Linked DNA regions of Schizosaccharomyces pombe. Changing the gene in region 2 together with the main gene of any one other region gives a genetic interaction. Each region holds a gene or a part of one and is shown on either strand. Other genes may lie near its edges.

Evidence for each region. Genes that interact genetically often act in the same process or in processes that back each other up.
Region 1: of puc1 (region 2) and pat1, extra expression of one rescues a mutant of the other (dosage rescue), as found in Schizosaccharomyces pombe (2 studies listed by BioGRID).
Region 3: of puc1 (region 2) and cig1, changing one enhances a phenotype caused by changing the other (phenotypic enhancement), as found in Schizosaccharomyces pombe (3 studies listed by BioGRID, with this or other methods).

Annotation. Positions count from the first base shown.
Region 1 is NC_003423.3:1,681,003-1,685,055, reverse strand, and holds pat1 (serine/threonine protein kinase Ran1/Pat1), read right to left. Parts: upstream 2,196-4,053; coding exon 783-2,195; 3' UTR 501-782; downstream 1-500. UniProt on the Schizosaccharomyces pombe protein: This protein is a negative regulator of both sexual conjugation and meiosis. It phosphorylates mei2. It blocks the onset of meiosis until conjugation takes place.
Region 2 is NC_003423.3:3,698,538-3,703,651, forward strand, and holds puc1 (G1 cyclin Puc1), read right to left. Parts: upstream 3,153-5,114; 5' UTR 2,116-3,152; coding exon 1,036-2,115; 3' UTR 661-1,035; downstream 1-660. Other genes in the region: SPOM_SPBP8B7.31 (acid phosphatase), read left to right, coding at 1-187, 263-382, 436-500.
Region 3 is NC_003421.2:1,225,227-1,229,803, reverse strand, and holds cig1 (G1/S-specific B-type cyclin Cig1), read right to left. Parts: upstream 2,579-4,577; 5' UTR 2,260-2,578; coding exon 1,012-2,259; 3' UTR 501-1,011; downstream 1-500. Other genes in the region: cardiolipin synthase PGP phosphatase domain-containing Gep4, read right to left, coding at 1-80; meiotic cohesin complex STAG protein Rec11, read left to right, coding at 2,879-3,143, 3,210-3,322, 3,408-3,506, 3,556-3,905, 3,950-4,094, 4,152-4,577. UniProt on the Schizosaccharomyces pombe protein: Required for efficient passage of the G1/S transition.

The DNA of each region.
Region 1 (4,053 bases), 2.0 Mb from region 2:
ATAAATAACAAAGTTTAGTAAAATTTGTCCCCTTACAGGAAACTTATAATTGTATTATTGCTATAATTTAATTGCATCTTCAAACCTAGTTTTCTAATTTCTTTCTCTATCATCCTTTACTAAAATATATCTTTACTTAACTTAACAATATCTTTATTTTTGAAAATATTGTCCAAAAAATATTCTATATACACAACGATATTTGATATAATAATTGCTTAAAAATATCAGTAAAAATATTGTAATATTAGAATTTACAAGAAGATATCTATAAATTTAATTTAATATTTTAACTTTTAACAATATTATTACAAGTTATGAATAATATCCTTCTATCTTCGTATTCCAAAAGCTTAGTTTGCTTTATCTCTTCAACATTTCGAGTATAGCGGTGATACAATATGACTGCATGCTTCATGCTCTAAACTCTTTAAATTTACTATTACAACCGTCGTTAAAACGATCCATTCGTCTACCTTTTCTTTTTTTTTTTTTTAAGTATATATTTATAAAAAAATTTTTGTTTTAAAGAACAAACCACAAGCAAAAAAAATTCATCAATGTTGTTAACAGAAAAAGATAATGCTACCATCATAATAAACATATAAAAAAGAAGAAATATAAGTATAAAACAAGTGCATAAAATGTTAGCTATTTACACAATGTTAAAATTCAAATCCCGAGAAATAATTATTGGGGCAGTCAAAGCCCTCTATAATGTTTTGCAGTAACCCTGAACAAAACAACGTGCGGTAGCGAATATAAAAAAGAAGCAAGTAACTTTAGAGCGATTTTCGAGATGGATCTACGGCATCAGCAGCACGACCAACTGGTGCAGGATGCAAAACGAATCCAGTAAAAGGTATGGGAGTCAGCGGAGGTTGATTAGGATAACCGAAAATTTTTGCATTATTCGGATAGGGTGTGGGTGTAATAGGCATATATGAGTTAGCATTGTTATGGACAGCTGCTGCCGCCGCTGCGGCAGAAGGCCAGAATGATTCGGTTGCATGAATAGGTGCTGTAAGAGGTGTAGTCGGATCTACTTTAAGTGAAGAATTTGGTGTAAGGACTTGTAAGGAGACAGGGATCGTTGGAGTAGCACAATGATTCCAATTACTTACAAACTGGGGAGTCGGAGGCCAGGGAAAGCCAATGTTTTGAGTCGGCATATAGCCTTGATGAGGGTAACCTTGAATTCCTTGTTGCAAATTCATTTGTTGCTGTTGTTGTTGTTGTTGGTATGCGAGATAACGAGATGAAACAAGGGGAGCAGGTCGTAAACGTCGTGTAAGGTTCTTACAGTTTGATACTAGCGTGGAAAGTTCGGGTAATGTGATTCGGGTTTTGGGATTCCTATCAAAAATTCGATTGAGTAGAGAATTGAGCTCTCTACTGATGGGTAAAATGGATAAAAGGGTTGATGGATTGTGAACGTAGGAACGGTAAGTACCATCAGTTTGAGAACATGCACGCTTCCAAGGGTTCCTCTTACAACACAGATTAATTAATATAATTCCCAGAGCCCAGACGTCATTTGGCGCTGTAGCAAAGCTGGATGATTGTGATTCTATAGGTTCAGGAGTTACCGGTAGCATATCTGACAGCGAACTAAGTTTTTTCACCTCCCGTTGACATTCTGGAGACATGTAAAACAGACTACCACATCCAAAGTCACTTGAATAGGGTTCTGTAGTAGCCAGACCAAAATCAGCTAAGTATACGGTGTTTACATCATTTCCAACCATAATGTTTTCGGGTTTAAGATCTCGATGATATATGCCAACTGAGTGACAATGTTCAACAGCAGAAATAAGCTGTAAAAAAACGGTTTTAATTAAATGACTATTCCCTTGATATACCTTTTTCTCCGTGATGTAAGTAAAAAGGTCGCCATTCGGACAATACTGGAGAACGACATAAATGGCGTCTTCCGTTTCTAACACGCGGTGCAATGTAATAATATAAGGATGTGAAGAAACACGAGCATGTAAGGCAAGTTCGCGAGCTTGTAACTTCTTCTGCTTTTCATTTAAGCCATCCTTACATAAAGCCTTTACTGCATACAAGGTACCGTCGTAAATGTCTTCTGCTTTGTACACGACACCATAAGCACCGGCACCGATGATAGAAACAAATCGTAAAGAATCACCCAAGACCTGACCCAAAAGGAGTTCTGGATTTTCGCGCATCATCTAATGTTTAGTAAAGATAAATTAAATAAAGTCCCAATTGATGGCGAAAATTAGATAAGAAAATAGAAAATAAGTATTTCGGATGATAAAGTTTTGAATAGCTTAAAGAACTTTGCAACCGAAACAAAAAAAAAACTTTGAGAAAGGTTAGATTTTCTAATGTCTTCTAAAATCAATGATAAAAAAAACAAAGATCGTTATAAACAGGAAAATAGTCAATAACACAATGATAGGTTTTATCTTGATCGTTTGAGGTTTAATAATATAAGGGAATTTACAAGAAAAAAATTTTTTTTTCAATTGTAAGCAGGTAAAAAATACGACAACGAAGAATGAAAAAGAGAATCGAATACGCCAATCACAGAGAAAACGACCAACATGCAAGAAACAAAATTAATAAAGAAAAGGGGAAATGCAATTGTGGAAGGAAGAGTTAAAACGAATAATATATAATGTTTATGATTAAAAAGCACAGGTCCTTTTGAGTACAACGAATGGAAGTGAGAAGGGAATGTGAATAAAAAACCGGGAAAAATGATGATTAGTATTTTAAGCAGGGAATAAAAAGTAAGAATGCTCAAGATAATCAAAGGAAACTCTAAAGATCAACGTACAAACAAGACACACAACGATTTTCCAAAGGAACAGTAAGAGAAATCGGGAAAATGTACAGGTCAGTAGTCGGTTAAAGATGGGGGAGAAAAGTAGAATTAATTTTTACCTAGTAGTATATCCTTTCCAAATTGAGGTAAAAATGAGAATAGAATGTTCGGTTTAAAAAGAAGAGAGGGGATGAGAAGGAAACACAATCGACAATCAACGCTTGCGAGTAAGTCAATAGACTTAGGTGGAAGAGTTGGACTGGGGAAAAAAGAGATGAGTTCACCTAATGTCAATAAGTATGCACAGCAATATGGATTTGTGAATGTAAAATGAAAAAATCGAGTAATTAAGAAAAGCCGAGAGAAGAGAATTCTTGAAAAGTATTTTCATCAAGCACAAAGGAATTTACAAGAAATCGTTCAGGGTAATTCCCATTTACATTGGGGAAAAGCAGAGAAGTAGTAAGTTTGGATATGGAAAGAAGTATCTATCTCTAATCGAAGAGGCTAGGGGAAAGAACAAAGAAAGGAAAAGCAGACGCGAACAAGAACCAAAGACGAAAGTGAAAAAGAATAAATAAATAAAACAAAAAAAAAATAATAAATTAAAAAAGAGGAAAAGGAAACGCGACTCAAATATGACTAATGCTCGTCGCGATGAGAAATAGTGATTTCTTTGTTAGAAAAACGAGTAAGATGGAAACTTTTAGACACGGGAGATGATAAGAATCCAAGAGGAAGAAGGGAAAACAAATGTAAAAGAAAACGAGGATGGTGGAAGGGAGGATATTAGTAAGAATAAAAAATGGTGGTTAAAGAAAAAATAAAATCCAAATTCGACAATTCAACGTTTGTTTATAGAATTTCGAAGTTTTTAATTAAAAAAAAAATAAAATAAAAAAAATAAGAATACAATCCAAACTTGTGTAGAATGAATAAAAGATAAATTTTTTAATTTTGGTTCGATTTCTAATCAGATAAAAGTAGTGTTTTCTTTATTGCTTTAACACAGTAGACAGCCGAACAACCTGAGTAAGAGTAATCGCGTTAATGACCAGGGGATATGAAAGCTGAAATCGAAATTCTGGAATTGTGGTTAATCACCCACAGGATCCAGCAAGCAAGAACGCTTTTCTAGCTTGCCAAGAAGAAAGGAGCAAGTGCAGAGATGAATTGTTGATAGCAGCGAGAATGCAAATGGGGAAGGGAACGTGAATTGTGAAAGTAGAGTAAAAAAAAAAGGAAAGCAAAGCAAA
Region 2 (5,114 bases):
ATTTGTTTTTACTCAGATATAACTGGAATTTTACAAGAGCTAAGGAACCAAAAAGTTACTTTGTGCGTTGCTAGCCGTACTTGTGCTCCCAAGTATGCGAAACAAGCATTGAATTTGATGAAGGTACCAATAGATGGAAGTCTTAAGCCGGCTATCGAATTTTTCACTTATGTAAAAGCTTGGCCAGGTATGTCTTTTAATACATTTTTGTCAATACAGAAAATATCAATAATCATATTGCTAACTAGTTATTGTGAAATAGGTAGTAAAATGGATCACTTCAAAGAGATCCACAACGAATCTGGAATTGACTATCGAGAAATGGTGTTTTTTGATGATGAGTCTAGGAACAGAGAGGTTGAAAGACTTGGTGTTACATTCTGTTTAGTTCCTGATGGCCTTAATCGTGCGTCCTTTGAGCAAGGTATAAACAAGTGGAGAAAATTAAAAAAAACTCACTAAATATTCTTTCATTTCTAAAAAATCATATGCATGGTTAATTTTTCTTTTGAAAGAAAAGTTAATCAATTTTGCTTGCATCTTAAGAAAACAACTATCGTGCTTTAACTTATATTTAGAAGTCTCTATTCGAATTGAGATGTATTTTGTTTAATCACAGTATCATTGTTAAAATTGGGAAACACTGATACTACTTTTAATGGGTGAAGAATCAAATTTAGAAATTAAATCTATTAAAGACCTAAATTGCTTCAATCTGTAATATGGGGTTTCTTATGAACTTTCTCTTTTCTTTTTGCAAACTAAGTAAGTATCATATAAATAAATAACAAAAATATATACAAACGGTATAATGTCATATGAGCATAGTTGCAAACCGGTTTAGGAAAACAAAGAACATAACAGAGTAGTTTAATTGATTAATATAATGAATTTTATAAAAATTCTTAAAAAAAATTACATCACTATACACTTACTTTTCTCAAGTAAATATATAATTTTGAAATTATATCTCCATTACATGTTTGTCTAGAAGCATTGCAATATATATAAATCGAAGAAGAAGCAATGTTAAAGTTACAAAGTACGCTCAGTATCCTTTTCAGTCATGTTGCACCAGGCAGCCATTGCGCATTGTTCCGGATATTTCTTTGCTAAAATACTAGAAATACGGCCTAGTGAGGAAAACAGTAAATCAGTACATTCCTCATTAGCATACCTCTTTGACATGTTTTCCATATATGATGTTACGGTATCCAAGTCTTCAGGCCACAAAAAGTTATCATCTTTGCGATAGGATTCCATAGAAGGGTGTGTCAAAAGAAACGATCCGACATGTTCGTTTACGATGTTCATAACTGAACATGCGATTTTGGAAGCGGGAAATTTGAATAAATTAGGTACAAACATTGATGCATCAAGTACTAAGAAAAAAATCGGGTCTAAAACAGGAATATACGAAGCTGGTGTAGGGATTGAGATATCCCAATCAAGAGTATCAAGTATGTGGCGTTCCATACGAATAAATAAATCCTCAGCATAGATGTTTTTACAAGCTAACTTCAGTTCTTGCAATAATGGAACACGGTCTTCTGTTTCATGAAATTTACTGGCAATCCAAAGACAAACACATGCTACTAACTGAATGTGTTTGCAGTATACCACTCTCCTCGAGACATATGAATCCATGAGGGAAATACTAAGCGGAAGAGTATCAATAGACAAGTCGAATCCATTATGTATTTCTACAATAAAATTAACGAGTGCAGGTCGCATTGACCATCTGAGTTCCGGTTGCTGATTAGAAAGATGGACATTCAGCAAAAAATTTTTCTCTCTAGTAATCAGATGATGGATAATGTCTTCCTGGTACTCACCTAAATACCCGTTCATTGATAAACCAGTGAGTAAAGAGGATTGAGTGTTATAAAGTAAGGCGCTAGATTCCGCTGACAATGTGCTAACAGAGTCGACAACAAATGCAGTCTCATTTTTAAGAGAGGGAGATTTGGAATTAACGCCTTTTGGTGAAACAGCTAAAGAGCAAGGGCCCACTGATAGAGAATATGAACAGGCAGCTAATATTTTAGGTTCTATACTTGAAGATGAAGTGGGAGTATGAGCAGTAAGTTGTTCCTCATTGGAAGAAACTAACATACTGGGTAGACAGGTATTTGAAAATAATGAGAAGGAAAGAGTAGAAAAGCTCTTCACAGTCGATGAAGTTGCAGCTCAAAGTTCAGTGAATTATTAAAAAAATGATACTGAAGAAAAAATAATTGGACATAAACAGGCTCAGATTGCTTGTTAAGAGGTAGTGGTCAAAGCGAATAGTGTTTAACTAACTGAAAGCGATACAACGGCGGAAAATTAAGGGACGATTTAAAAAGGAAGAAAAAAAAAGAGTGAGGTGACGATTAAAAAAAAGGGAAAAATTACTGGGTTTTCAAGGACGCTAAAGAGATATCAATAATGGAAGGGGTAATATAAAGGAATCGAAAGAGTAAATTGCAAAGGACTTGTAAAAAGCCAAGACGAAAGAACCCAATAATATATAGTGAAAAAAGGCTATATAAATATTAAAAGAATGCAAAATGAAGCGGAAGAAATTAGATGCGATAAATATATGTTTCCAAAAAGGTTCGGTGAATAGTTATTTAGTTTGATTAACGGATTTCAGAAGCAGACAATGCATTCATACTAATGAAAATATTACAAAGAAACACAAGGTTAATTCCAAAAAGAAAAAAAAAATAAAAAAAAATAAAAGGAAGAGAAAGATATTTAGTAAAATATGTCCATATGCAGCAAAAATAAGGAAATAAATTTCAATTAAACCAAACGATGTATTGCAAAAGAAAAACAAAATTTGGTTACGCTGTTCAAACTTTCGAATTCATTTACAGTGCAGTCAATTTAATTTACCGCAACCTTGATAGGACAGAAATTATAAAAGAACACCAAAAGCTGGAGAAAAGTAAGTGGTACAGACTCTTTTAAAGAAAACAATTCAGTTCCGTCAGCTACTATTTTATAAAAAATGATAAACGGATACGACTAAGAGATCGAATTTGTGAACGATTCGTACCAAGCAATAAATAAAGTTGTCGCTTGTATACCAAAAGCAATTATGGTGTGGTAAGAAAAGAGAATGTAACAAAAAACAAGGCGGAACTGGTAAAGAGATAAATTATGGAAGGTTATAAACGGTGGGCAATCGATATCTTTATAAGGATAAATCTTATAGTGTAGTGACAATATCGCGAATCGGTATCCTTACATTGTGAATGTACAATGTCCATTCTAACTCGTAATTTCTGCAACGTAACTAGCTACTGTTAGTAACAACAACCGGAATTTTCGGATTTGAATTAATTAAGCCTCAAGTGATCTCCATCTTGGTATGGCCGATTCACAAATTTACCATACCAACGATGTGTACTGAAAGCGTAAAGTACTAACACACAATTAATTCAATGGGTCAAGCACATCATGTAAGTGACGACGTAGCCCAAAACTATTCCATTCATAGCACGCCATCTATCAAAGAACTTGAACAAAGAAACTAGTACAAAATTTTGATTTTCAAAAGCGGTTAATTGATAAGTTACTTGCTGTAAATCATATTGGCCAAATCGTGAAATGTACGTACTGCTAACATTGCGCACGCAAGTAAGAAAAAGTGGGGACAAGAAGCAGAGGTAAATCAATTATTCAAGAATGTAAATATTGACCCGTTCGATCATCTACAGCTTTTTTTTTATGAAAATCACGTTATTAACAAAATGGCTGGTGCAATCCAGCTATAACTACAGCTAGATAGATTAACATTAATAATATCGATTTTCTTCACAATAGCATATACCGCAATCTTTATTTTACATAGCAGAAGGAAATAAGCAGCCCAATTACTGTGTGTAAATGTTTATCACTTAGTATATGGATTAAACAAATTGTAAATAATAGTCAAGACTTAAGTCAGTTAATTTCCGATGAAATAATTAATTTTTGAGGAGAATGTGGGGAATGAACATGAATAACTAGCATGGATAAATAGATTCGCAATCAGTGACATAACGATATTTATGAGCCGTCTAGTTTCACAGATAATTCCACCTGGTGGTGCGGATAAAAGTAGGATAGAAAATAACAGAACCAAAACGTTGAAAAACGCATTGCTTGGCTTAAAGGTCATAACATTATTCTATTCAATGGAAAAAAATGTTTGGTAGTTGAACGAGATTGCTTCTCAACGCAATGTTTTATTTTCACTACGAAATGTTCTCATGCTTCTAATCTATGACTTCTACTTTACATGCTGTTGATTCAGGTGGTGTTTTTGTACCAAAGTGGGGGGTCTAAGTCGTTAGTACTATTGTCCTTCTTCTGGTTAGTACTGACAGTTTGTATTACATTTTAAGTGGGATCGTAGTAACTAAATGGGGGTACATAAAACTGGTACTACTAAACAGATTTATCTAAGTTGTGAACAAATTTCAATAAACAAACGAATGTATAATCTCATCGGCAAGAAAATAATTTTTTACGTCAATCACTTATTTCACTTCTTTATTTTATTTTGAATATATCAAATGTAATCAAGTTTAGAAACGTAGACGGGTTCATGTATGAGCTTTCTTCGTTTCATTTGCATATATATCCTTTGTAAGATTCTGTTACTTTGAATATGTTTTCTTTATAAGTTGTAGATGGTAATTGCTACTCTTTAAATACAAGCTGTCTTCTACAATAATTTTAATTTTACCAGAGTATTTTTAATTATCCTCATGCGAGTAATTTTCTAATTATGTGGTGTAACAAAAATAGCGTTCGGTTAAATTTTAGTTCGCCGTGTTAAGTCTATTAATCAAAAAATTTGGGTTCGTAAAATTGTACGCCTATCTGCCTAGAATCAAGTGAAACCATATTACAGGCATAATGCTCCAATCGATAATGGGAATAAACAACTCAGACTTTGGAAATTCACAGCTACATTGCCATAATCATATTGTGGATGGGTGTGTCACCTTGAAATGTTTTATTGATAAACTAACTAGCAACTAATCTATGCTTTTTATCGGAAAAAATAAAAATAAAATAAACTCCTATAATAAAAGACCTTTTTGTACAAAATCATAATAATACCACCCTATTCC
Region 3 (4,577 bases), on a different chromosome or scaffold from region 2:
AATGTAGCATGTGGGATTATTCGACGAGGATTTCGAATTGTCTGACAAAATGCTTGAATTCCCTCGATATTAATCAACATGCCAAACAAAGATGATGATAATTAATAAAACAATTGTGTTAGTTTTGTTGTGGATTAAACGATGATAGAACACGTCTTAGATTGCTGAAATTATAACTTGTTGGTGTCCAATGAGTTTAGAGTTGCTAAAAAATGAATAAATGAGATAAATTACTACGTATGAATACTTAATTAAAAAACATCGAGTGGGTTTTCTCAGTTCTTAAATAGACTTGAAGTATGTAATAGGCATCTTTACTACTAAGGATGAACCACAAATGGCTGATTTTTACAAAACAATAGATGTCTGAAAGCATACTAACATACACCAGATTGAAAATACTAGACCTGTGCAAACATCGTTATACAAGGTGTGATGGACTGTCAATGATCTCCCAATAATATTTGTGAAACCAATGCAGGACGTGAAACAAATATGAAGAGAAAAGGTAAAAATAGTTATGTTATTTATAAAGTTTAAGCCTAACTACATAAAGATCAGTAGCAACAATTAGTCCAATTAACCCGTCGATCATGCCCAAAGGTCGGATGAGACGATTGTGTAAAGGTAGGACAAAATTAAATTAAAAAGGTATTAATCCAAAAAAATAAAAATGGTTTAAGGGGTATCAAAAAATAATTACAATAGAGATACCCGTAACGTTATTTAAGTATAGTAAAAGATATAGAAAACAAGATGGAAGAGGGAATTCGGAAAGATAGTTATAAAATAGACAGTAGTTCCAAGTCTCTGGGGGATAATAGGGGTGGTTTAAACGACAAACTTAGCAAACGGAGTGGAGAAAAACTACTACCTTAGGTAAGATATAAAATGCCCTCGAGTGATTGCTGTAGGAAATATTAAGACAATGATCCGTAATAATAAATATCGTAGGCTTAATAATAGCAAACTAACTCAGAATATCATTGTTAACAACTTCTGAAAGCAAACTCAAATCACACTTAGTACCCAGTTGTGAGCAAAGGCGCTAACTCGCTTCATTCTATTCTCCGAGTACTTTCGGTAAATGGCATTGTGATGGTTAGGGGCATCGACCAAACATTCCATAATGATTATGGCACACGGTTTCAATTGACGAGCCGTGTACCCACTATAATATACATGGCAAGGAGTCCAATCCAAATGACCCAACATCTGCATAGACAAGTAGTAGGCAGTAGCAGCAATGAAGCTAATATGGGCACCTATAAAAATTTCATCCATCAAGGTTACTTCTTGAAGATATTTGGCGAGCATGCGAATGTCGTGATCGTAAGAATCAGCTCGACTTATACGACGCAAAAACGACATGGGCCCTGGCCAACTAATGTCAAAATCCAAAAGCATCAGCATATAGCGCTCGGCTCTAATGATTTCGTCAACGGTGAAGATCCCTTGGACAACATGCGCAAAGTTGTAGATGCTTGGAGGGTGTATCTCTTCATACTTACAGGCAATCAGCAAAGCTGATAAACCTACCAACTGGACTTTTTGCAAAGATACGACTTTTATGGAAAGAAACCGGTCGATAAGGTTTACCGCCAAAAATAATGTCTCAGGAAGTAAACGAAAATGTATTTGAACTTGCACAATCCAATCAACAAGCATATGTCTTGTAACCCAGTCAATCTCTTGCTGAACTGACATGTAATTAGGAGGTGGAGCCAGCTTCCTTTCCAAAGATTGCATGTAGTGAAATATCTCAGGATCATAGTCTGGTACCATGGATGGATCAGTTTCTATATCCTCAGGCGATGGGTTAGCTTGTAATCGAGCAGCAGCTTCAGACAGGGCGGCTAAATCTTCCTTGGTCCACTCGGGAATTGTTGGTAGTCTATGCTTCCCGTGTGTAAGAATTCCTTCAGGTGCGTCAAAGCTGCCCTCACGGTTTTCCAAATCATCATCTCCAATAGACTTAGGAGTGGAGCGAATTGACCGTTCCTCTATCTCGACTTTGTCCTGGTATGCAAAATCCTCTTCAAAAGTGTCGCCAGTGGACGAAGAGATGGAGGATTCATTATTCCCTTCAATCAATGTTGGTTCATCTTGTTGATTGATGTTATCTACTGCCTTGAAAGGTGCACGAACACCCGTATTTAACTTGATGTGACTTTTCTTCTTCACATAAATGTGATCCTTTTGTAGCTGATTCTCATCTTGAAAATATGTTGCGTGTCTTGTTTGAGTCGAAACGTCCATTAGTAAACCAGCACACACTTGTTTAGAAAGTTTTGGACATGCGATGAAAGTCGGTTTTCAAACTGCCTTTTACTCAGGTAGGAACCCTAGTCTTCTCTTTGGAAAAGATCCTTAAAAATTTAGATGCTTTTCGACTTCTAAAAATTCGAAAAAATGACTCTACACCCAAATATATGAAGATACTATTGAACGAAGGATTCGAGGAAAGTAATCTTTTGGATTGACCAGAAAGATTAGTACTACAACAGTACAAGAACTAAAAATCTCAAATGAAACCAACGAACAAGAGTATTAACCAAAAGTTGGAGTAGGACTTTGCAAAGGAATACCGAGCTACTACTAATGAGAAAAAGGAGTTGGTGGGTTCTCAAAAGGGGTCAGGGAAAAGCCCGAAATTCCGAGTAAAAACGCGTTCTTATTCATAAATTAGTTACTTTATGTTTCAAAAGTAAAACTTTAATAAATTATTATATACTTGATTGCAATGGTTGTATGTGAACTGCAAAATAATTAATGACTGACTGACGCGACTCGTGTCACGTAAACAAACCCATCGTTTCTGTTAGATTAATCTTTGCCATAACCAACCACCATCGTACCAATTAATTGAGTGATTTCAATGAGATTCGAATTTGAATCAGATGCAAGCAGTCATCTCAATGAAGTCCTTACTGAATTAGAAAGCGTGGAGCTTGAAAATGTTGAATATGAAGGTCCAAGTTTACAGAATGTCAGCATTTGTGCCTCGCCCTCAGAAAAAAAGCGGAAATGGGGAACACAAGATGAATTTTCTTTGACGGAGAATGAAGAAAATAATGAAATAGAGACGAATGAAGAGATGCACGTAAATTCTCATGATTATGCCTTTCCACAAGAATTTTTTCGTAAGTTTGCTTGCTTATAAGAGAAAAAAAGTCTTCGATAATATATTCTAACAAGCATACGAAAAGTCAAACTGTTGGATATAGATATGCCGCTCGAGCAACTTTCTCAACATTATTTTGAAGACTATAAAAGTAATAGCGCTGACTTCATGCTGACCTTTATAAATTTCGCATTAGTTGTAAGTTTAGCAGGAATGATCCGCGACGTTTTCTAGCTTTTGCTGTTTTGTTTACTCTTCCTTTGAAACGTAAACTAATTCATAGGCCTCTGGTTGTCAACCCTTCGTTACGAACTTTGATGTACAGGACGTAGATTCAATTCCTGAAACATTGTCTCAGGTCAATCGTTCAAGTTTTCAAAAGGTGTGTGCATCATCTTTTTGTAATATTTACTTACCATACATATCGCTAGTCTTCTTGCGCTTATACTGATTATCTTTATACTTCTAACTCTAAAGAAGCTAAAACGGTGCGTATTCGTTTTCAGCTTTTTTTGGTCGAATTCATCAGTAAAGTTTACGTGGAAGACGCATTCCTCGGAGACTCATTCATGGAAACTACAAAAGCTTGGATTTTTACCATGACGACAAGTCCTTGGATGCTTGTTAGACATACTGCAACAACTATTTGCTGTGATATCATGCGATGCTTATGCCTTATAGTAAACAAACTTTCCGAAAAATCAAATCAAACTGCGGAAATTCTGGTACTGAGAGACTTAACATCTAGGTTCATTGACATGATTCACGACATTTGTGATAGGTTGGCAATACTACTTTTCTTAACGACTCTAACCTTTTTACTAGTGTACTATTCTCAAGGATTCATGATATACGTGCAAGCATTCGTATAGTGTGTGTTACTGCTCTATATGATTGTTGCCAATTGCTTCCCACCTATCTTATAAACAGAAATTTGATTAGACATTCTGGCTGGGGGTTATCTGATGCAGTAAGTGTATAAACAATCGCTACTGCTGTATCATTTAAATACTAACTGAACGTATAGGAATCACAAATCCGAAAAATCTCCTTAAAAATAATAGATTATCTTTCTTCTCATGAACCTGAAAAAGATCAAGATTTTGTGGTTGATTTTCTTGACAGATTCTCGTTAAGAATTGTGGAGATATGTCGGTACGATATTGATTCTGTTCGATCTGTTGCCCTCAAGACATGCGAGAAACTGATGGAGAAAATATCGTTGAATGGAAAATGTATCAATATTGTTTCTAGCTGCATATTTGACGGGAAGCCCCAGAATCGAATCTCGACAATGCGAATCCTCGTTGCCCATACTAATGAACGCTACGCAAATTATTGTGAAGCAAAGACTGCAACAATCAGCTTATCAAAGCTCTTAAGGCGTGAAAAAATCCCATTGTTAGTTTCCAGCTTTGAAAGCCTATTCAAAATGAATGCGTTATTATTCATA